Linked DNA regions of Stegostoma tigrinum. The protein of the gene in region 2 purifies or fractionates together with the protein of the main gene of each other region. This does not show direct contact. Links are inferred from orthologs where the notes say so. Each region holds a gene or a part of one and is shown on either strand. Other genes may lie near its edges. The genes, in order: csnk2a2b and G patch domain-containing protein 2-like.

The links.
Region 1: the proteins of G patch domain-containing protein 2-like (region 2) and csnk2a2b purify together in Homo sapiens (affinity purification with mass spectrometry; 5 studies listed by BioGRID and IntAct, counting the BioPlex papers as one, with this or other methods). This does not show direct contact. The link is inferred for Stegostoma tigrinum from reciprocal best matches to the Homo sapiens genes GPATCH2L and CSNK2A2.

The regions. Positions count from the first base shown.
Region 1 is NC_081369.1:10,830,355-10,841,584, forward strand, and holds the start of csnk2a2b (casein kinase II subunit alpha'), read right to left. Parts: upstream 5,942-11,230; 5' UTR 5,510-5,941; coding exon 5,406-5,509; intron 1-5,405.
Region 2 is NC_081363.1:1,721,940-1,733,259, reverse strand, and holds the start of G patch domain-containing protein 2-like, read left to right. Parts: upstream 1-6,338; 5' UTR 6,339-6,647; intron 6,648-11,320.

The DNA.
Region 1 (11,230 bases), on a different chromosome or scaffold from region 2:
TCGGCGCAACATCAAGGGTCAAAGGGCCTGTACTGTGCTGTAATGTTCTAGGTCTATTGCCTCTTGAAGTCTACCACTGTCCTCTTCACAGTTCACAATATTTCTAAGTTTTGCCCTCTGCAAGTTTGAAGTTGACTAATGCATATCTGAGTCTGAGTCGTGTACATTTATGTAGGTATCAAGAAATGTAGTGGTTCTGGTATCAATCCCTCGTAGGAAACACTTTCTTCCAGTCTAAAATACAAACAACCAATCACCAATACTGTTATACATCATTTAGATAACTTCACATCCATTCTACCAGTTTTTATTTTATTCCACAGGATCCAGGTTTGAACAAGTCTAAATGTTGCACTTCATCAGAAATCCTTCGGAAATCAGTGACACATATGAAGCTCAACCACATCCACAATCATATCAGACAAGTTTCAGTGTCATTAACATGAACTACCTTGAACAAATTCTTGCTTGCTTTCTCTAATTTTTTCATATATACCAAATTGGCTTTTGCCTTGGGTAATCATTTCTAAAAGCTTTTTGACTATCAAGGTTAAACGGACTGCCCATAGATGCTGAAGGGGCCCTTGCAAGGTTGTAACATTTTCCACTGGCCTGGCACCACCCTGCATCTGTAAACTGCATGGCCATGGCCAAAACATCCACAAAAGCCTCCCTCACTATCATGAAGTGCATCTAATCCAATACTAGTAGCTTAAAGTCCAAAAGCTTCCTCCCACGTGTAGACTCCTTTTTGCATGCATAAACTGCCCCAACCCCTCCCTCCCTCACTGCTGCTTTACTATTTAAGTTCTTACAGTCCCCATTCATACTGCTGTTGCCTCTGATTTCTTTTTAAAATTCTGAGTTTTCTTCAATACAGTCTGAATGTACTTACATCATCAATGAGATCTGTCATAAAACCCCCATTTTCTGCTTCAACTTACTCTCAGCTTGTCATCCAAGGAGCTCTGGCTTTGGTTGCTCTGCATTTTGCCCTTGTGCAAATGTATTTCAATTATACCCACTTTAAAACAATCCGATGTTCCAATATTATCTTTTGTTTCTATTTTACCTAGATCACATCCATTCTTACCCCACTGAAAGTGGCCTTCCGATTTCAATGTTTTACTTCACATTGCCCCTTGTCCCTTGTCACTTTCCCTGAGCTAGCTTAAACCTTTGATACTCATGATCATTATCAACATAGCGATACAGCACAGAAACAGACCCTTTGGTCCATCCAGTCCACGCCAAACATAATCCCAAATTAAACTAGTCCCATAATCATCCTGTTGAGATGTGTCACAAACTTTAAAGAATTAGGTACCTGCATCCCTCGGTCCCTTTGTTCTATAACACTACGCAAAGCCCTATTAATCATAAAAGCCCTACCCTTGTTTGTTGTACCAAAATCAATACCTCACATTTACTCAGACTGAACTCCCTCTGCCATTTTTGCATTGCTCATTGCATTGAGTATAGGAGTTGGGACGTTATGTTGAGGTTGTACAGGACATTGGTGAGGCCTCTTCTGGAATACTGTGTCCAGTTCTGGTTGCACAGCTATAGGACGGAGATTATTAAGCTGGAGAGGGTTCAGGAAAGATTTACAACGATGTGGCTAGGTATGGAAGGTTTGGGTTATAAGGAAAGGCTGGATAGGCTAGGACTTTGTTCACTGGGAGCATGGGAGGTTGAGAGGTGACCCAATAGAAGTTCATAAAAAGTGGCAGGTATAGATAGAGTTGATGGGGGTTGTCTTTTCCCTAAGATGGAGTTTTTCAAGACTAGGGGGCACATTTTTAAGGGGAGAGGACAGAAATTTTAAAAAGACATGAGACGCATGACAATAATTGACTTCTCATAACTATTCCCTTTTTTACACAATAAAATAGCATTACATTTGGTTGCTTTAAATGAAATGGTGCCTTCAGTTTCTAAACAATTTGACAATGATTCCAAAACTTCATACAAAAGAATGCAACATTTGACTCAGCTAGCTTATCCTTAAAACAGACATTCATGTGCCAGCAGTGGAACACTGACATGATGAGAATTTTTAACCTTCACTAGTGCTTCTTGACTTTAGACCAGAAATTACTTTTTCCTAGTTTGCTCCATTCCTTATCAACTAACTTGCATTCTATGTTACTCTTTTTACTCACCCACTAAAAAATGCTGGCCAGTAATCTAATATAAAGGCATGAAAGTTTTTTTCCCGAATTTTTCTTTGCAAGAATCTCTTAATATTTGGGATCAATCTCAAGTTCATTTAATTTATATTGCTTTTGGCCCAACTAATTTATTGCTTCATGAGGCAAAGCTGAGATTCAGACTCACTGATCAAGTAATATTGCGCAGGGTTCTGCTTGTCTGTTCTTTGCTATTCTACATGTGGCGTATTGAATCTACTATTACTGTCAGATCTCCCAAACTTTTATTTTCTTCCAGAGTAGAATACATGCCACTTTGGACAAACTGCATATGACAAAATGGACCCATGCCCACATAATTTGAGATTTGTTTACCAGGTGGTCACAGTGAAGACACAGCTGGCTTTGGTTCACCACCTCGCCTTGAAAGCAGGGTTGAGACGTGAAGAAAGTCATGCTCTATCCTGGCTCTTTTGAGAACAATTAGAGTACAAAACACCTTCAGTACAGGAAAAAAAAAGTTCATGGTGCTTCAGAGAAAGTACAAGGAAGAACAAAGCAATAGGATAAATTAATCAATATTTCTGAAAACTAAAGTCAGATTTTAAGAATTGTCAAAGGAGAAGAAACTTAGATACCGGCAGGTTGAGGAACAGAATTCCAGGGTATAAAAGTCTAGACAGCTGAAAGCATGATCAATATTGGTGAGAAACTGGTGCATCTGAGGCCAAAATTAGATGATGAATGTGTCAGGGACAGAAAAGAGGGAAAGTAAAGCTAGAGAAGTTCAGAAATAACAAGGTGTTAAGGGATGAAGAGCCAACGTAAGTCAGGATCAACATTTGCTACAGGTTAAGGTGGGAGGACGAAAACAGTTCTGTTTTATGGGGAATGGAGTGCCAGGCAATGAGGAGTGGAGCACTAAGTCAGTCATGACTAAGGCGTAATTAGGTGTACATAATTTTTTTTGAGGTGTAAGTCAATAGTCTTTGGGAGCAACAATAAAGAATCTGCTCGTCAGCTCGTGACAAATCTGGAAATCAAAGTTGCACTGGAAATGTTATGGAGTTAGAGGGGAGGACACAGTACTTTTGTTGAAAGCCTGAGGTGGTATTTTAGGTTTCCCAAGTGTTTAACTGGAAAACACCAACTAGACTGGATGAGAAAGCAACACAACACATTGCGGGAAAAGCTCAGCTGCAGTCTTAGTGCATGGAACTTCATTCTATGTTTTTTTTTGTTATCTGCTTAACAGTAATTGCTCTTTACATTTTACAAGATTTTCTCAATTTTCTTTCCCATCACCCATCCCACCATTTACTAAGAGTCTTGATTCCCTTCTCTCGTCAAAGCATTTTAAACAAGTCCTCAGTCAAATATTCAATTTTCAAATATTCTCACTTTAGTTTTGGCAACTTTCAGTAAGAACATTATATTAAAATATTTATGGATCCTCAGTAGTTATTTGCACAGTCGAGAAACTCTATGTATCTACCAATACAAATCAATTCTGAAGTTGCTATGTCAAGTTAATATCTGTATATCACAACATAAATTGATGCCAGAGAATTTGGATGAGAAACTATTTTGCATACACACAGTTACTGGGCCAAGGTGCATCATGTTCCAAAGGCACATAAATAGTAGCGAAGGCTATTGAGAACCAAGCTGAGCTTCATTGAAATTGGATGCAACCTTTTGACCACCTAAGAATCACCAATCTCTGATTCACCTCTGGAAATGTGTCTGGGTCTTGGGCTTAAAGCATGGGTGAAACAAATCTCAACAATAAACTCCTCACTAGACATCCCCAAACACTGGATACTTTTGGATTGTACCACTAGACCGCATTCAACCCTCATTCGAACGAGCGTTTTAACCGAGCCTTTAACTGTCAACATTATGGCAAGTGAAACCATGACAAGAACAGTCTATTTCAGTAAACGTTCAACACTAAAAGCAAACCTTCAACACAAAAAAACTGTTAATGGGAAATAAATGTTATCAGGCATTGGTGACTTGTTTTTTTGCTATGTATAGCAGATACCTATCACCAGAAAGTAATCATTCGCCATGTTAAACCTCCAAACACACTATCTTTCAGAAACACACTCAGTTGTTTCGACTTACAGAACATGGAGGGTACAGCTTTTCAAAGTTAGGATGTGTCATATTTACTGCAGGCCAAGTATTTAGGCAGAAATTAACAAGACGACAAATATAAAACATCTTAATAGGACTCCTGTGGCTCAGCCTCCCCACCTCTGAACCAGAAGACCCATGTTGAAATTCTACCTACTCCAGAGGTGTATCATAGTACAATTGAACAGGTTTATAAAAACATTAAAAACACTTTAACCACCTAGGCACATGCAAGCTTTCTGCTGCTTATCACATTATTAGCTCCTATGTTAAATAGACACCATGAAAAGATGGAGAGATAACAAGGTGTACGGCTGAATGAACACAGATTGCCAAGCAGAGGAGCAGGAAAGCTGATGTCTTCAGAAAAGGGTCAAGGCCCAAAACATCAGCTTTCCTGCTCCTCTGATGTTGCTTGACCTGCTGTGTTCATCCAGCTCTACACCTTGTTATCTCAGATTCTTCAGCATCTGCAGTTCCTGCCATCTCTAACCATGAAAAGGTTCTTAGTCCCAGTGACAGATCTAATCTCCAATACCTCAATGAACTAAATTAGCAGTAAAACAGGCAACAATATTAAGTTTACCATTTAGGAAAATTTCATGAAATGAAATAGTCTTCCAAATTTCTCAGACAAGAGTTTGAAACCTAAATAGTGAACTTTTAGGCTCAGGATATGACTTAAAGTCATTAGCAACTGAACTAATTTTCATTTCCACACCATTAATGACTGCAAAAGCTAGTGCTGATTGATACGGACTTTGAGGTGGGGCAGGTTATTGACACAGGACTGGAAAAAAAATCATACCATGACAGAACATGTTTTCACAGCATTTCTTGGGTAATTAACAATTAGACGTATTAGGTATAACCAAGTCAATTACAGTCCATTTTTATACGAATTAGACGTTTCCATATTCTATACACGCCTTTAAACATCCGCCAGACATATACACAAGGTTTCCACACATCAAGACTTTACTATTTTTCTGGTATATACATTTTCATTAATCCACGCAACAAGCATCTATATATTCCCGCCTACAGGCAGATGTCTATGCATTCAAGTCATATTTTAACCTCACTGCTACAACATACTGTGTTTCTTACCCCCATTCAGGAACGTGTGACTCGTAATCCCAGTACTCGCGGGGTTTCAGGCTGTTTACTTCGGCATACACGCGGGCCCTGCTCCCGGTAGCCGGACCCGGCATGGCAGAGCCAGGGCTCAGCTCTGGGATAAGGGGACGAAATCCCCAAGAGGGGGCAGCGGGGGGGACACAGAAGCCGCACCGCCACGGGGCAGACTGACAGTCGGGAGCCAGGCCCGGCCTCAACCCACGCAGCACCACCCGGGATAACTTCAGTAGCAGGGTTCGTGGAGCCAGCGGGAACTCCCCCGGGGCGCGGGGGGTCGATTAGAAAGGCCCAGTGCGGATCCCGAAAAAGATGGGTACGGTCGGGGCAACAGCAACGAGCTTATGAGAAACCTTACGGAGGATCAAACAGCAGAGCAGAACAGACCGAAGTCAACAAAACCGAACCGGACTTCCCTGAGGGAGGCCCGCAGCGGAAGAAAATATTCCGCCGGGTGCGGACCCAACCCTGAGAAACCGGTCACAAGCTCGCTCTATCAGCGAGAAGACACCGAGGGCCACAGGATGACGAGCGCCGGCAGCAGCGGCTCCTAGCGGCACCCAGCTGAAGCTGAGCGATGCCGGCTGCACACTCCAGCGGCAGCGACCCCTCGCGGCACCCCACTGAAGCTGAGCGACGCCGGCTGTCCGCTCCAGCGACTGCGGCACCTGGCGCTGTTTAATGAGACATGACCCACACGCTTACCACAGGCTCTAATGCCTTACAGAATAATACACGGGTAGCGGCACAAAGGGATTAAGGAATTAAGACAGAAAAATCCCCACAAACTGTAACACCCGCCAATATTAGGTTTTCATAGATTATATGGAGACGTTGCTGAAACTTGTGTGAATCATTGGTACCGATAGAAATAAAACTGGAGTCACGTTCCTTCTGCATTTCTTCTTTTGTGATAATAATGTTCAAGTTGTAATACTGTGCCATGCATATGCGGTGCTGCGTATTCCTAGATGAAATAACTTGCAAGTTAAATTAACAATTATAAACTAAATATATATCATATATACAGTAAGTTGCATTCCCTCTGACTTTTTCCGTCTGCTGTGTGGACCTGTAAAGTCTACGCAAGGCATCAGCTTCCTGAACAGAAGGGTCTAGGCCCGAAACATCAGCTTTCCTGCTCCTCTGATGCTGCTTGGCCTACTGTGTTTATCCAACTCTACATCTTGTTGTCTCGCATTTACCCACCAACTGGCATTTCACCCTATAAGCGGTTTCATGTTTTGACATTAGGGACGTTGACTGTAGGTGCATAAAGACCATGAGGCATTTTAAAATATTAAGTTGAAATGGTGCATATTCTTAAGTGCCTACCTACGCAAATAAAATAACCTTAAAGCAACATACATTTTGACAGCAGAAAAATCCAGTTTAAGTACGACTCTTCTGATGCTGCCTAGCCTGACTCTAGCTCCACACTGGGCTGTCTCCGACTCCCGGCATCTGCAGTTCTTGCTCTCTCTACTATAGCACTACCTTCACCTGAGGAAGTTTCTATTGGCCAAGCTCCATCTAGTGGCATAGACTTGTCAATGCAATTGGAACGAGCCGTACTTAACAACTTCTGCTGCTATGGTAGAGCCCACGACTTCAGCATAAGTTCACAGTAGGAGCTAAACAGCAAGGGGAGACACATCACCTCACATTTACCAGAGCTAACTAAACTCCTTCTGCTTTCGATCTGTCCATCTGACCAATCCATTAAATTTTCCTATAACCCAAAATCGTTCTTCACAGACAACCATCCGGCCAATCTCTGCATCAAACTTACCTATCATTCCCTCCACATTCTCATCTACATCATTTATATAAATCATGACCAATAAGCGCCACAGCATTCATTCCTATGGTGCCCGACTGGACACCAACCTCCAATCACATAAACTTTTGACAACAACCTCTCCTACTACTAAACCAAATTTGTATCCAAGTTGCCAATCTACCCTGAATTCCATGTGGTTTTATCTTTGTATTATTCTGCTGTTAACATGTGTTTCTCCCATGGGGGATCTTTGCTGAAATCCAGACAAACTATATCAATTCTACTGCACACATCTGCACACTTCATCACCTCAAAAAATTCAACCAGATTTGTTAGAATCCCTCTGACAACACTTTGCAGTCTAACCCTGATGAATCCTTGCAACTCTAAATGGAGATTGATTCTCTCCTTCACGACCTTCTGCAATAGTTTCCAGGCCACTGATTTGAGACTCGCTGGTCTATAATTTCCTGATTTATCCTTTCCACTTGTAAAGTGGAACCACATTAGCTGTCCTTCAGTCCTCTCGCACCCCTCCTTTGGCTAGAGAAGAATTAAAAATTTGGGTTAGGGTCTATGATTTCCTCCCTTGTCTCCCAAGGCAGCCTCATATCGCTGTTCCTTTACTGTCATTGGGTCAAAATCCTGGAAGTCCCTCCCTACAGTAATGGACTGCAGCAGTTTGAGAATGCAGCTCACCGCCACATTCTCAAGGGCAACTAGGGACAGGTAATAAATGCTGGTCAAACAGCAATGCCCATGTGCAATGAATGAGAAAAGAATCCTACTAAAGAGTTTCTAATACTTTTAATGCTGCAATGTCTTACTTAGCCGAATCTTTCCAGTTGTGATTGATAAGGGACTTATTTCTAGCTCTATTAGCATAAACCACTTCTCAATTCCGATAGCGTGAAAAATTCCACACAACTCTAAGTTTGAAAACTTCACAAACTGAAATATCGCTGCTGGTTTGAAACTGCCCTACTGAACTGAAACCTGATTGTGAACTGAATTCAAAAAAAGCTAACGGTCCTGTACTGTTTCCTCTGTATGTGATAAAAATTCCACTTGGGAAGCATTCAATAAATTAACACCCTGGCTACCCTGACAGGCACTTACTAAGTCATCTGCTTTCTTATAAATCATGTATTTACTTCAATGTCACAAATTATTTTCTGATCTCTTTCAAAAAATTACCTTCACAGCACTGAAACCAAAATCTATATTACCTCTAATTTAAAAAGAAAAATTTCCAAAATACAAAAATATATTGTACACATTATCAGAAAACAATTGTTGAAATTTATTCAAGTAAACACCTATCAAATTATTTGTTAAAATACAGATTCAAAGATTTAAAGTAAGTGAGGATGAATGTCACAAATGAAGATGAAATTGATATCAGTGTCTACTATGAAGCAGGCCTGGCTTGCTTGAAGATTCTCTTTCTGACCTGAAGGGTTTGAAAACTTGGGTGCAATGTAGTCAAACAGCTGCCACAGTAAACTAAGCAGAAGTGTTTTGGAAGTGAGCGCAGGCTCCTTACTTTCATTTTTACAGCAGTACCTGTTCTGACTATCGGTAGTCTGGTTCAGTGCAGCAAATCTGGAAACTTTCTTCTGTCTCCTGCTTGAAAAGCAGTTACTGCTTTAAAACGTTTCTCACATTTTTAAAACAAACATTTTGTGGAACAAAGCCAGCATTTTCTGCCCATCTCTAATTGCCCTTGAACTGAATGAATTGGGAGGCTCACTTCAGTGGGCAGTTAAGAGACAACCACATTGCTGTAGCTGAGGAGACATATTTAGAGCCAGCTTTCCCAAAAGACAAGTGAACCAACTGTGCTTCTGCAACATCATTGAAACTGGTTTCAATTCCATTATAAATTGAATTTAAATTCCACCACTTGCTGAGGTGGGATTCAAACCCCTGACCAAAGATCAGTAACCTGGGTCTTTAATAACTAGTGTAGAAATGTTAACCCCTTCTCCTCTTCTGCATGAAATGGTTGTTCACAATCAGACTTCTATACAGTTCAAAACTTAAAATAGCTGCTATCCCAAAACTGTTGAATTTTGTCTCTGTATTGAATTATCTTAGGCACAAACCCATTCATTATATTTTAGTTAGGTATTTTTTCTTAACTGCTTTAGCCATTTGCTTGGATGGTTCTTATTCTGTAGTCTTTTGGAGAGATAAGCACAGCTATTCACAACTTCAGGGAAACCACTGCCAAAGACTTTCTAGTTACTGTTGGAAATATCTGCTGGGCTTCAAAATGTCTGGTCAATTTCTTCTTGACATAAGTACTGTATAGTATGGTCTGGTCTCAACACCACTGAGTTCACAAAGGCGGTCACGTCACTTCTGAGAACCATCTTGTAAGATTCTTTGCATGTATTTTAAAGTTCGATTAATTTTCTTTGTAAAATATGTAACATTGTAACAACACAAATATTACAAACCTTTTTAAAATTTTTATTGGCATACTGGGTCAGACTGATTTTGAAGCGGCAAATGGTGGGTCAGAGTGGAACAGATCTTGAGAAGCATTTCTTTACAATACATAAAGCACACATTTTAATTTCATGTAAATATTAAGGTGTGAGCCCTGGTGCAGTGGTCACACTTCCGACCGACTCACAAGTTTATGGATTCAAATCCTGCTTCTGGAATCAGAGCCTTCAGCACCTCTCAGGTGACTGTAAAAGTGCCATGGCATTATTCAAAGAAATAAAACGCAGAGTTCTCTCAGTCCTGGCAAACCCTGAACCATCAAGTAACAGCCAGAACAGATGATCTGGTCATTTCGTTGCTCCATAAAAAAATGACTCCCACTTTTCATAATTACATCATTGACCACATAAATGTGTTTCCTTGCCTGTAAATTACTCAATGTCTAGAGTCTGTGAAAGATGTTACATTAATGCAAGTTTTACTTAATTTATTTTAATTCCCACTTATTTTGTTCAAAAATCACTGCAATGAGTTTTTCAATTAAATTTGTCATCCTTCTTAACTGAGTTACATTTTGTCCTTTAGTTGGTTCCATTAATGTTTTGGCAAACATCTGTAGCTTGGGTTGTAGATGAGGTTGTTGACTTGCTCACTGAGCTGGTTTGTTCTCTTTCATACGTTTTGTCACCATGCTAGGTGACATCATAGTGGAGCACTGATACACTGATGATGTCGCCTAGCATGGTGACAAAACGTCTGAACGAGAACAAGTCAGCTCGGCGAGCAAGTCAACAATTTTGTTCTATTAATTTATTTCTATTCCTATATCTAAAATTTATTGTTAGACTAAAACATTCTCTACTGTAAGGTATAATCTTCTCATAAAGTAGCATATCATGTATTAAAATGAAACAATTATGGAATTCAAGTGCTAAAACTTTCACGAAGATATCCACAATACATCAAGATAAAAAGTCTGACTTATTCAACTATCATAAAGAAATGGTGCTCATGTTAAACTAAATACCAAATCCCATAAGATATTATCTGACTCACCCTAAGCAGCGCCAAAGCTGATCATCCAGTAAATATAAAAATCTTGCATTTAATGTGCATCCATCAGTCTTCAGGTAATCAACTTCAATGTGGCAAATGCATTGAAAAAAAGAAAGAAAATGAATAATTTAGTACCTTCTCCTTCTGTCCTTTGGGATCAATTAGGGATTATGCCTCACTGTCAATCTACAAAAAAAAATCACCTCCAGTAAGATTTTGGCCTCTAATTGGCTTCAGGATTTGCCTATTTACACCTCCTAGAGTCTCTAGGCCACAGTCACATCAGCACACTACTCCAACTCAGCAGCAGAATAATTCATTACGAAATATATCCTAAAATGTTTCTGTCCTTAAAAGAACCATGAATTCTAAAATTTACTATAAAGATTAAAATAAAGAAAAACAGAAAATAGAGCGATGTTGTCCAGATTTGATGATATCCAATGTGATGTTACTATGGCTTTAAGAAGTGTATTTTGTCTGTGAAGAGATTGAGACAGAG
Region 2 (11,320 bases):
AGAGAGAGACTGGGATAGAGAGAGAGAGAGACTGGGTTAGAGAGAGAGATAGAGAGAGACTGGGGTAGAGAGAGAGGGAGCGCAACTGGGATAGAGAGAGAGAGAGAGAGGGACTGGGATAGAGAGAGAGAGAGAGACTGGGATAGAGAGAGAGGGGATGAGCGCAACTGAGAGAGAGAGAGGATGAGCGCTACTGGGATAGAGAGAGAGAGAGAGACCGCGACTGTGATAGAGAGAGAGAGAGAGAGAGAGACTGGGATAGAGAGAGAGACAGCGACTGGGATAGAGTGAGAGAGCGAGAGCGACTGGGATAGAGAGAGAGAGAGACTGGGGTAGAGGGATAGAGAGAGAGAGAGACTGGGATAGAGGGATAGAGAGAGAGAGAGAGAGCGACTGGGATAGAGAGAGAGACACAGAGGGCGACTGGGATAGAGAGAGGATGAGCGCAACTGAGAGAGAGAGAGAGAGAGGATGAGCGCTACTGGGATAGAGAGAGAGAGAGCCCGACTGGGATAGAGAGCGAGAGAGAGAGAGAGAGCGCGACTGGAATAGAGAGAGAGAGAGAGAGACTGGGATAGAGAGAGAGAGAGAGACTGGGATAGAGAGAGAGAGAGAGACTGGGTTAGAGAGAGAGACTGGGGTAGAGAGAGAGGGAGCGCAACTGGGATAGAGAGAGAGAGAGGGACTGGGATAGAGAGAGAGAGAGACTGGGATAGAGAGAGAGGGGATGAGCGCAACTGAGAGAGAGAGAGGATGAGCGCTACTGGGATAGAGAGAGAGAGAGAGAGAGAGAGAGCGTGACTGTGATAGAGAGAGAGAGAGAGAGACTGGGATAGAGAGAGAGACAGAGCGACTGTGATAGAGATAGTGAGAGCGCGACTGGCATAGAGAGAGAGACAGCGACTGGGATAGAGTGAGAGAGCGAGAGCGACTGGGATAGAGAGAGAGAGAGAGACTGGGGTAGAGGGATAGAGAGAGAGAGAGACTGGGATAGAGAGAGAGAGAGAGAGAGCGACTGGGATAGAGAGAGAGGGTGAGAGCGAATGGGATAGAGAGAGCGCGACTGGGATAGAGAGAGAGAGAGAGCGTGACTGGGATAGAGAGAGAGGGAGAGAGCGAATGGGATAGAGAGAGAGCGCGACTGGGATAGAGAGAGAGAGAGAGAGAGAGACTGGGATAGAGAGAGTGAGAGCGACTGGGATAGTGAGAGAGAGACAGAGCGACTGTGATAGAGTTAGTGAGAGCGCGACTGGGATAGAGAGAGAGAGAGAGACTGGGATAGAGAGAGAGAGAGTGAGAGCGACTGTGATAGAGAGAGAGAGAGAACGCGACTGTGATAGAGAGAGAGAGAGAGACTGGGATAGAGAGAGAGACAGAGCGACTGTGATAGAGTTAGTGAGAGTGCGACTGGGATAGAGAGAGAGACAGAGCGACTGTGATAGAGTTAGTGAGAGTGTGACTGGCATAGAGAGAGAGACAGCGACTGGGATAGAGCGAGAGAGTGAGAGCGACTGGGATAGAGAGAGAGAGAGAGAGAGACTGGGGTCGAGGGATAGAGAGAGAGAGAGACTGGGATAGAGGGATAGAGAGAGAGAGCGACTGGGATAGAGAGAGAGACACAGGGCGACTGGGATAGAGAGAGGATGAGCACAACTGGGATAGAGAGAGAGAGAGCCCGACTGGGATAGAGAGTGAGAGAGAGACTGGGATAGAGAGAGAGAGAGAGAGAGAGAGAGAGAGAGAGAGACTGGGATAGAGAGAGAGAGAGACTGGGTTAGAGATAGAGATAGAGAGAGACTGGGGTAGAGAGAGAGGGAGCGCAACTGGGATAGAGAGAGAGAGAGAGAGGGACTGGGATAGAGAGAGAGAGGGACTGGGATAGAGAGAGAGAGAGACTGGGATAGAGAGAGAGGGGATGAGCGCAACTGAGAGAGAGAGAGGATGAGCGCTACTGGGATAGAGAGAGAGAGAGAGAGCGCGCGACTGTGATAGAGAGAGAGAGAGAGAGAGAGACTGGGATAGAGAGAGAGACAGCGACTGGGATAGAGTGAGAGAGCGAGAGCGACTGGGATAGAGAGAGAGACAGCGACTGGGATAGAGTGAGAGAGCGAGAGCGACTGGGATAGAGAGAGAGAGAGAGAGAGACTGGGGTAGAGGGATAGAGAGAGAGAGAGACTGGGATAGAGGGATAGAGAGAGAGAGAGAGCGACTGGGATAGAGAGAGAGACACAGAGGGCGACTGGGATAGAGAGAGGATGAGCGCAACTGAGAGAGAGAGAGAGGATGAGCGCTACTGGGATAGAGAGAGAGAGAGCCCGACTGGGATAGAGAGCGAGAGAGAGAGAGAGAGCGCGACTGGAATAGAGAGAGAGAGAGAGACTGGGATAGAGAGAGAGAGAGAGACTGGGATAGAGAGAGAGAGAGACTGGGTTAGAGAGAGAGACTGGGGTAGAGAGAGAGGGAGCGCAACTGGGATAGAGAGAGAGAGAGGGACTGGGATAGAGAGAGAGAGAGACTGGGATAGAGAGAGGATGAGCGCTACTGGGATAGAGAGAGAGAGAGAGAGAGAGAGCGCGACTGTGATAGAGAGAGAGAGAGAGAGAGACTGGGATAGAGAGAGAGACAGAGCGACTGTGATAGAGATAGTGAGAGCGCGACTGGCATAGAGAGAGAGACAGCGACTGGGATAGAGTGAGAGAGCGAGAGCGACTGGGATAGAGAGAGAGACACAGAGGGCGAATGGGAGAGAGAGAGAGAGAGACTGGGATAGAGAGAGAGAGAGCGCGCGACTGGGATAGAGAGAGAGAGAGCGCGACTGGGATAGAGAGAGAGAGCGAGTGACTGTGATACAGAGAGAGAGACTGGGATAGAGAGAGAGAGAGCGCGACTGGGATAGAGAGAGAGAGACAGCGCGACTGGGATAGAGAGAGAGAGCGTGACTGGGATAGAGAGAGAGAGAGAGAACGCGACTGTGATAGAGAGAGAGAGTGCGACTGGCATAGAGAGAGAGACAGAGCGACTGTGATAGAGAGAGAGAGAGAGAGACTGGGGTAGAGGGATAGAGAGAGAGAGAGACTGGGATAGAGGGATAGAGAGAGAGAGAGAGAGACTGGGGTAGAGGGATAGAGAGAGAGAGAGACTGGGATAGAGGGATAGAGAGAGAGAGAGAGCGACTGGGATAGAGAGAGAGAGACAGGGCAACTGGGATAGAGAGAGAGAGAGAGAGCGTGACTGGGATAGAGAGAGAGAGAGAACGTGTGCGCCTGGGATAGAGAGAGAGAGAGCATGCCTGGAATAGAGACTGAGAGAGAGAGCGCGTGACTGGAATAGAGAGAGAGAGCGAGAGCGACTGGGATAGAGTCAGAGAGCGAGAGCGACTGGGATAGAGAGAGAGAGAGAGAGAGAGACTGGGATATAGAGAGAGAGAGAGAGCGTGACTGGGATAGAGACTGAGAGAGAGAGCGCGTGACTGGAATAGAGAGAGAGAGAGAGAGCGACTGGGATAGAGTCAGAGAGCGAGAGCGACTGGGATAGAGAGAGAGAGAGACTGGGGTAGAGAGAGAGAGTGAGAGCGACGGATAGAGAGAGAGAGCGCGACTGGGATAGAGAGAGAGAGAGAACGCGACTGTGATAGAGAGAGAGAGAGAGAGACTGGGATAGAGAGAGAGACAGAGCGACTGTGATAGAGTTAGTGAGAGTGCGACTGGCATAGAGAGAGAGACAGCGACTGGGATAGAGTGAGAGAGCGAGAGCGACTGGGATAGAGAGAGAGAGAGACTGGGGTAGAGGGATAGAGAGAGAGAGAGACTGGGATAGAGGGATAGAGAGAGAGAGAGAGCGCGACTGGGATAGAGAGAGAGACACAGAGGGCGACTGGGATAGAGAGAGTGAGAGAGAGAGAGAGACTGGGATATAGAGATTGTGAGAGAGCGTGACTGGATTAGAGAGAGAGAGAGAGAGCGAATGGGATAGAGAGAGCGCGCGACTGGGATAGAGAGAGAGAGAGAGAGAGAGCGTGACTGGGATAGAGGGAGAGAGAGCGCGCGACTGGGATAGAGAGAGAGAGAGCACGACTGGGATAGAGAGAGAGAGCGAGTGACTGTGATACAGAGAGAGAGACTGGGATAGAGAGAGAGAGAGAGCGCGACTGGGATAGAGAGAGAGAGACAGCGCGACTGGGATAGAGAGAGAGAGAGAGCGCGTGCGCCTGGGATAGAGAGAGAGAGAGCGTGCCTGGAATAGAGACTGAGAGAGAGAGCGCGCGACTGGAATAGAGAGAGCGAGAGAGAGAGAGAGAGAGCGACTGGGATAGAGCCAGAGAGCGAGAGCGACTGGGATAGAGAGAGAGAGAGAGAGAGACTGGGATATAGAGAGAGAGAGAGAGAGAGCGTGACTGGGATAGAGAGAGAGGGAGAGAGCGAATGGGATAGAGAGAGAGCGCGACTGGGATAGAGAGAGAGAGAGAGACTGGGATAGAGAGAGAGAGAGAGAGAGAGAGACTGGGATAGAGAGAGAGAGAGACAGCAACTGGGATAGAGTGAGAGAGCGAGAGCGACTGGGATATAGAGAGAGAGAGAGGGAGACTGGTGTAGAGGTATAGAGAGAGAGAGAGAGACTGGGATAGAGAGAGAGAGAGAGAGCGCGTGCGCCTGGGATAGAGAGAGAGAGAGAGCGTGCCTGGAATAGAGACTGAGAGAGAGAGCGCGCGACTGGAATAGAGAGAGCGAGAGAGTGAGAGAGAGAGCGACTGAGATAGAGTCAGAGAGCGAGAGCGACTGGGATAGAGAGAGAGAGACTGAGATATAGAGAGAGAGAGAGAGCGTGACTGGGATAGAGAGAGAGGGTGAGAGCGAATGGGATAGAGAGAGAGCGCGACTGGGATAGAGAGAGAGAGACTGGGATATAGAGAGAGAGAGAGAGCGTGACTGGGATAGAGAGAGAGGGAGAGAGCGAATGGGATAGAGAGAGAGCGCGACTGGGATAGAGAGAGAGAGAGAGAGAGAGAGAGACTGGGATAGAGAGAGAGAGAGTGAGAGCGACTGGGATAGAGAGAGAGAACGCGACTGGGATAGAGAGAGAGAGAGTACGCGACTGTGATAGAGAGAGAGAGAGAGACTGGGATAGAGAGAGAGACAGAGCGACTGTGATAGAGTTAGTGAGAGCGCGACTGGCATAGAGAGAGAGACAGAGCGACTGTGATAGAGTTAGTGAGAGCGCGACTGGCATAGAGAGAGAGACAGAGCGACTGTGATAGAGTTAGTGAGAGTGTGACTGGCATAGAGAGAGAGACAGCGACTGGGATAGAGTGAGAGAGCGAGAGCGACTGGGATAGAGAGAGAGAGAGAGAGACTGGGGTCGAGGGATAGAGAGAGAGAGAGAGAGACTGGGATAGAGGGATAGAGAGAGAGAGAGAGCGACTGGGATAGAGAGAGAGACACAGAGGGCGACTGGGATAGAGAGAGGATGAGCGCAACTGAGAGAGAGAGAGAGGATGAGCGCTACTGGGATAGAGAGAGAGAGAGCCCGACTGGGATAGAGAGCGAGAGAGAGCGCGACTGGAATAGAGAGTGAGAGAGAGACTGGGATAGAGAGAGAGAGAGAGAGAGACTGGGATAGAGAGAGAGAGAGAGTGGGTTAGAGAGAGAGATAGAGAGAGACTGGGGTAGAGAGAGAGGGAGCGCAACTGGGATAGAGAGAGAGAGAGGGACTGGGATAGAGAGAGAGAGAGACTGGGATAGAGAGAGAGGGGATGAGCGCAACTGAGAGAGAGAGAGGATGAACGCTACTGGGATAGAGAGAGAGAGAGAGAGAGCGCGACTGCGATAGAGAGAGAGAGAGAGACTGGGATAGAGAGAGAGACAGAGCGACTGTGATAGAGATAGTGAGAGCGCGAGTGGCATAGAGAGAGAGACAGCGACTAGGATAGAGTGAGAGAGCGAGAGCGACTGGGATAGAGAGAGAGAGAGAGACTGGGGTAGAGGGATAGAGAGAGAGAGAGACTGGGATAGAGAGAGAGAGAGAGAGAGAGCGACTGGGATAGAGAGAGAGACACAGAGGGCGACTGGGATAGATAGAGGATGAGCGCAACTGAGAGAGAGAGAGAGAGAGAGGATGAGCGCTACTGGGATAGAGAGAGAGAGAGCGCGACTGGGATAGAGAGTGAGAGAGAGACTGGGATAGAGGGATAGAGAGAGAGAGAGAGAGAGAGAGACACTGGGATAGAGAGAGAGAGAGACTGGGGTAGAGAGAGAGGGAGCGCGACTGGGATAGAGAGAGAGAGAGAGAGAGAGAGAGAGAGAGCGCGACTGGGATAGAGAGAGAGACTGGGTTAGAGAGAGAGAGAGAGAGAGAGACTGGGATAGAGAGAGAGAGAGAGAGAGTGCGACTGGGATAGAGAGAGAGAGAGAAAGACTGGGTTAGAGAGAGAGAGAGACAGAGAGACAGAGAGAGAGACTGGGATAGGGAGAGAGAGAGAGAGTGACTGTGATAGCAAGGGAAAGGGAGATTGGGATAGTGAGAGAGAGAGGGTGATTGGGATAGAGAGAGAGAGAGACTGGGATCGATATAGATAGAGAGAGAGCATTTGTGAAGGAAAAAAACCGAGTTAATGTTTTGAGTCCGGTGACGCTTCGTCAGAACTGCTACAGGCAAGCTGGCTGGTTTTTTCTTCCTGATTTACACCATCCGCAGTTCTTTCAGTTTTTATTAAGTAGTTGGGCATGTTGGGAGAGTCGGCAATGGGGAAAGGCGTTGGGAATCTGATGCACAAGGGGGCTTGGGAGTCTCCATTCAGGATTCTCTTAAGGTTAATGTGTGGGTTTTGATTTAATTTATTGTCACGTATCGAGGTACAGTGCAAAGTGCTGTTTAGTGCGCGATATATCCAGATCGTTCCGTACCAAGTGCATCAGGCTGCCAGAACAGAGTGCAGAATACAGTATGACAGTCACAGATAAAGTGCAGAGAGAACGAGATCAGAACTAACATTGGAGATATTCGTTTAAAAGCCTGCTATCACCAAGGCAGAAGCTGTTCTTGATCTGTTTATACGTGTATTCAAATTTTTATACCTCCTGCCCAATGGAAGAGGGTGGCAGAAACTATAACCAGGGTGGGAGGGATCTTTGATTAAGTGGGCTGTTTACCTGGGGCAGTGCGGAAATATAGGCGGCGTTAGTGTAAGGAAGGCTGGTTTGTGTGCAGGTCTGGGCTGTGTTCACAACTCTCTAGTTTCTTGTAGTTTTAGGAAGAGCAGTTGCTGTACAAAGTCTTGATGCATCCTGATGGACGCTTTCTCTGGTGCATCGATGAAAATCGAGAACTTTGAAGACATGCTGCCATGAATGTATAAGGAGTACAGTAGGGAACCAGTGTTGAGGACCATTGTGGAGGAGGTGTTTTTGTTTATCCTTGCTGATTGTGGCCTGTGGATCAGGAAGTTGAGGATCCAGTTAGAGGGGGGAGCTGGGAACTAGGTCTTGGAGGGTAGAGATGAGTTTGTTTGGAATTATGATGTTGAAGGCAGGGCTGTACTCAACGAGCAGGTGCCTGACACAGGAGTCTTTGTTATCCAGATGTTCCAGGGATGAGTGCAGGGCCAGAGAAATGGCATCCTCTGTGGATCTGTTATGTTGGTAGGCAGACTGTAGGGGATTGAGGCAGGTTGAGAGCTTGGACTTGATGGTGGCCATGACCAGCATCTCAAAGCACCTCATGTTTATTGAAGTCAGAGCTATTGGACGTTAGTCATTAAGGCACACTGCATGTGCTTTCTCTAGTACGGGGATGGTGGTCTTCTTGAAGCAGGTGGGCACTTCGGCTTGTAGGAGGGAGAAGTTGAAGATGTCCAGGAATGCGCAGGATCTGAATGCTTGACCGGGGACACCAACTGGGCCCATCATTTTCCTTGGGTTGACTCTCAGGAAGACTGATCTGACTTCTGAAGAGCGATAGACAGAACAGGTGTGCCTCAGGCTGTTGGGGCAGGAGTTGCCATGCTGGTGGTATTCTGCTCAAACGGAGCATAGAAAGCATTGAGCATGTCAGGGAGGGATGCATCGTTGTCCGCTATCTTATGCTGTTTCATTTTGTATCCCGTAAAGTCGTTCAAGTTTTGCCATAGACATCAGGGATCTGTTTGGCAGGTCTGGGCCTCTGACTTGGTCTGGCACTGCTTCTTGGCCTCCCTGATGGCTTTGCGGAGGTCATATCTGGATTTCCAGTATTGGTCTAGGTCACCCGACTTGAATGCTGCATGCCTGGTCTTCAGTAGGGAGTTGATTTCCTGGTTCATCCAAGGTTTCCAGTTGGGGAACACTCTGATTGACTTCTTTGGTACAACTTCCTCAGGGAAATGTCCCCGGCCCATCCATTTTCAGCTGCTTCATCAGTGACCTTCCCTCCGTCATAAGGTCAGAAGTGGGGATGTTCGCTGATGATTGCACAATGTTCAGCACCATTCATGACTCCTCAGGTACTGAAGCAGTCCATGTTCAAAAGGAGCATGATCTGGACAATATCCAGGCTTGGGATGGCAAGGGGAAAGTGATATTCACGCCACACAACTGCCAGGCTATGACCATCACCAATAAGAGACCATCTGATCACCGCTCCTTGACATTCTATAGTGTTACCATCACTGAATCCCCCACCATCAACATCCTGGGGGTTACCATTGACCAGAAACTCAACTGGACTCACCACATTAACACAGGGGCGGCAAGAACAGGCCAGAAGCTGGGAACCCTGCCGGGAGTAACTCACCTCCTGACTCCCCAAAGCCTGTCCACCATCTACAAGGCACAAGTCAGGAGTGTGATGGAATACTCCCCACTTGCCTGGATGGGTGCAGCCCCAACAACACTCAAGAAGCTTGACACCTTCCAGGATAAAGCAGCCGCTTGATTGGCACCACATCCACAAACATCCCACTCCCCCCACCACCGACACTCAGCAGCAGTTTGTACCATCTACAGGATGCACTGCAGAAATTCACCAAAGATCCTCACAGCACCTTCAAAATGCACGACCGCTTCCATCCAGAAGGGCAAGGGCATCAGACATATGGGAATACCACCCCCTCCAAGTCACCCACCATCCTGACTTGGAATTATATCGCTTGGAGCAGTTTACATGGTGTAAGCCTTGCCACATTGGCAAAGTCCATGAGGTTGGTCTAGGTCTCAAGCTGAATTTAGTATTGCCTCTTGGCGTCTCTGCTGTCTTTGTGAATGCCATTCCTGGGTTTCCTGTATAGGCTGGGGTTGCCCAACTTGTACACCTCCGATCTGCACTTCAGCAGGGAGCGAAGCTCCTGGTTCATCCAGGGTTTTTGGTTGGAGAAGGTTAGAACTAACTTCTTCCACATGCTGTCTTCTACACATTTACTAATGAAGTCTATAACAGGAGGGGCGTGCTCCTTTAGACTTGTTGCTACGTTTATGAAAATGGACTCGAAGCAGTTCCATAGAAGCCCTTCCATTACCTCACAATAGCACAGCACTACTTTCTGTACTGGGCCCTCGCACTTCAGTTTCTGTCTGTCAGCCGGGAGGAAGTGCACAGCATTGTGATCGATTGATGGAGTGGTTGGTGCCTTCGGTTGTACAGAAGTGGTCGAGGATATTGGGATCTCTGGTGGGACAGTGGCGATGTTGATGGTATTTTGGTAGCATGTTCCTGTGGGTGGCCGTGTTGAAGTTACTGGCTGTGATGGACTCAGGGTATTCTGTCTGTGGTCTGTCGAATTGTATACTTTGTCAAGAGTACTGTCACTTCCACATGGGTTGGGATGTAGACCGCGGTCAGTGTGGCAGGGGTGAGCTCACACAGCAGGTAGTAAGGACATCACTTTACTGTAAGATATTCTAGGTCCAGGGAGCAGCAGGATCACCACGAGGTGTAGATGTGGAAGTAAACCCCTCCATCCCTTGACTTGCCCTGGGACACCAGCCAGATTGTACAGTGAACTAGAAACCCTCAGGTTGTAAAGCACCCTCAGGTGTAGCAGGAGGGAGCCATGCCTCTATGGGACAGAGCACACAGCAATCTCTCAATTCCCTTTGCAAGGTGAATCGAGCTTTAATTGTTTTCAATGGTTTGAACATTTGCCAGCAACATGCTGGGGAGGAGGGGCAGATGGAGCTTGAAACCCTGAAGTTTCAGTCTTACCTGACATCTGGTGTGTCTCCCAGGTTTCCTGGGTAGGCGGCTGTCCCCAGTCAATCCGCAGTGTTGCTGAAGTAAGTCTGTGCTCCTCGCGGGTTCCCAGCCACCAGTCACAGCCCTGACTGCCCCATGGGGTTCTTGTGGTTGGTTTGGTCGGGCCTCCTCAATGTCAGCTAATTGTGGGGTCAGGCCCTGTCCCCGCATCGGTCAGACCATGTTCCCAGATTTCCACAAGGAGCCAGGCTTGCGGGAGTACAGTAGACCCCTGGTCCCTCTGGGCTTGCGGTTCCAACATTGGTTAGACAAACCTGAGAGAACGTTGTTGGTAATTCTGATGGACATAGCAGCAGAATGACTGTGACATGTAAGAATAAGATCTGCTTCAGACAGCTCACAAAATGTCATACGATCTGGTACAGCCATCTTCTAAAAGTTTAGCAGGATCCCAGCAAGGAGGTTCAGCTGGCAGCTAGGAAGGCAAATGCAGTGTTAGCATTCAGTTCAAGAGGGCTAGGATACAAGAGCAGGGATGCACAAGGCTGTATAAGGCTTTGGTCAGGTTTACTTTGGAATATTTTAAGCAGTTTTGGGTACCATATCTGAGGAAGGAAATGCTGCTGTTGGAGGGAGCCCAGAGGCGATCCCAGGAATGAAGCATTTGTCATATTGGGAGAGCGGTTGAGGTCTCTGGATACGTACCTGAAGGAGTTTAGGAGGCTGAGGAGGACTTCTTATTAAAACATACAGAATAGTGAGAGGCATGGGTAGGGTGGACATGGGGAAGATTTCTCCACTAGTCAGAGAGATTAGGACCCACAGGCACAGCCTCAGAGTGAAGGGACAACCCTTTAGAACTGAGATGAGGAGGAATTTCTTCATCCAGAAGGTGGTGAATCTGTGGAGCACATTGTCACAGAGGGCTGTGGAGGCCAAGGCATTGAGTATTTAAGACAGAAGTAGCCTGAAGGTTCCTGATGAGTAAGGGGATCAAGGGTTACAGGGAGAAGGCAGGGCAATGGATTTAGAAACATACTGGCCATAAACGAACAGTGGAGCACACTGTGCTGCTATATGTTATGGTCCTCTGCCTTGTCATCATTAGTAGGAAAGCTGATGGAGGCCATGAAGAGATCAATATACACTTAGGGAAAAA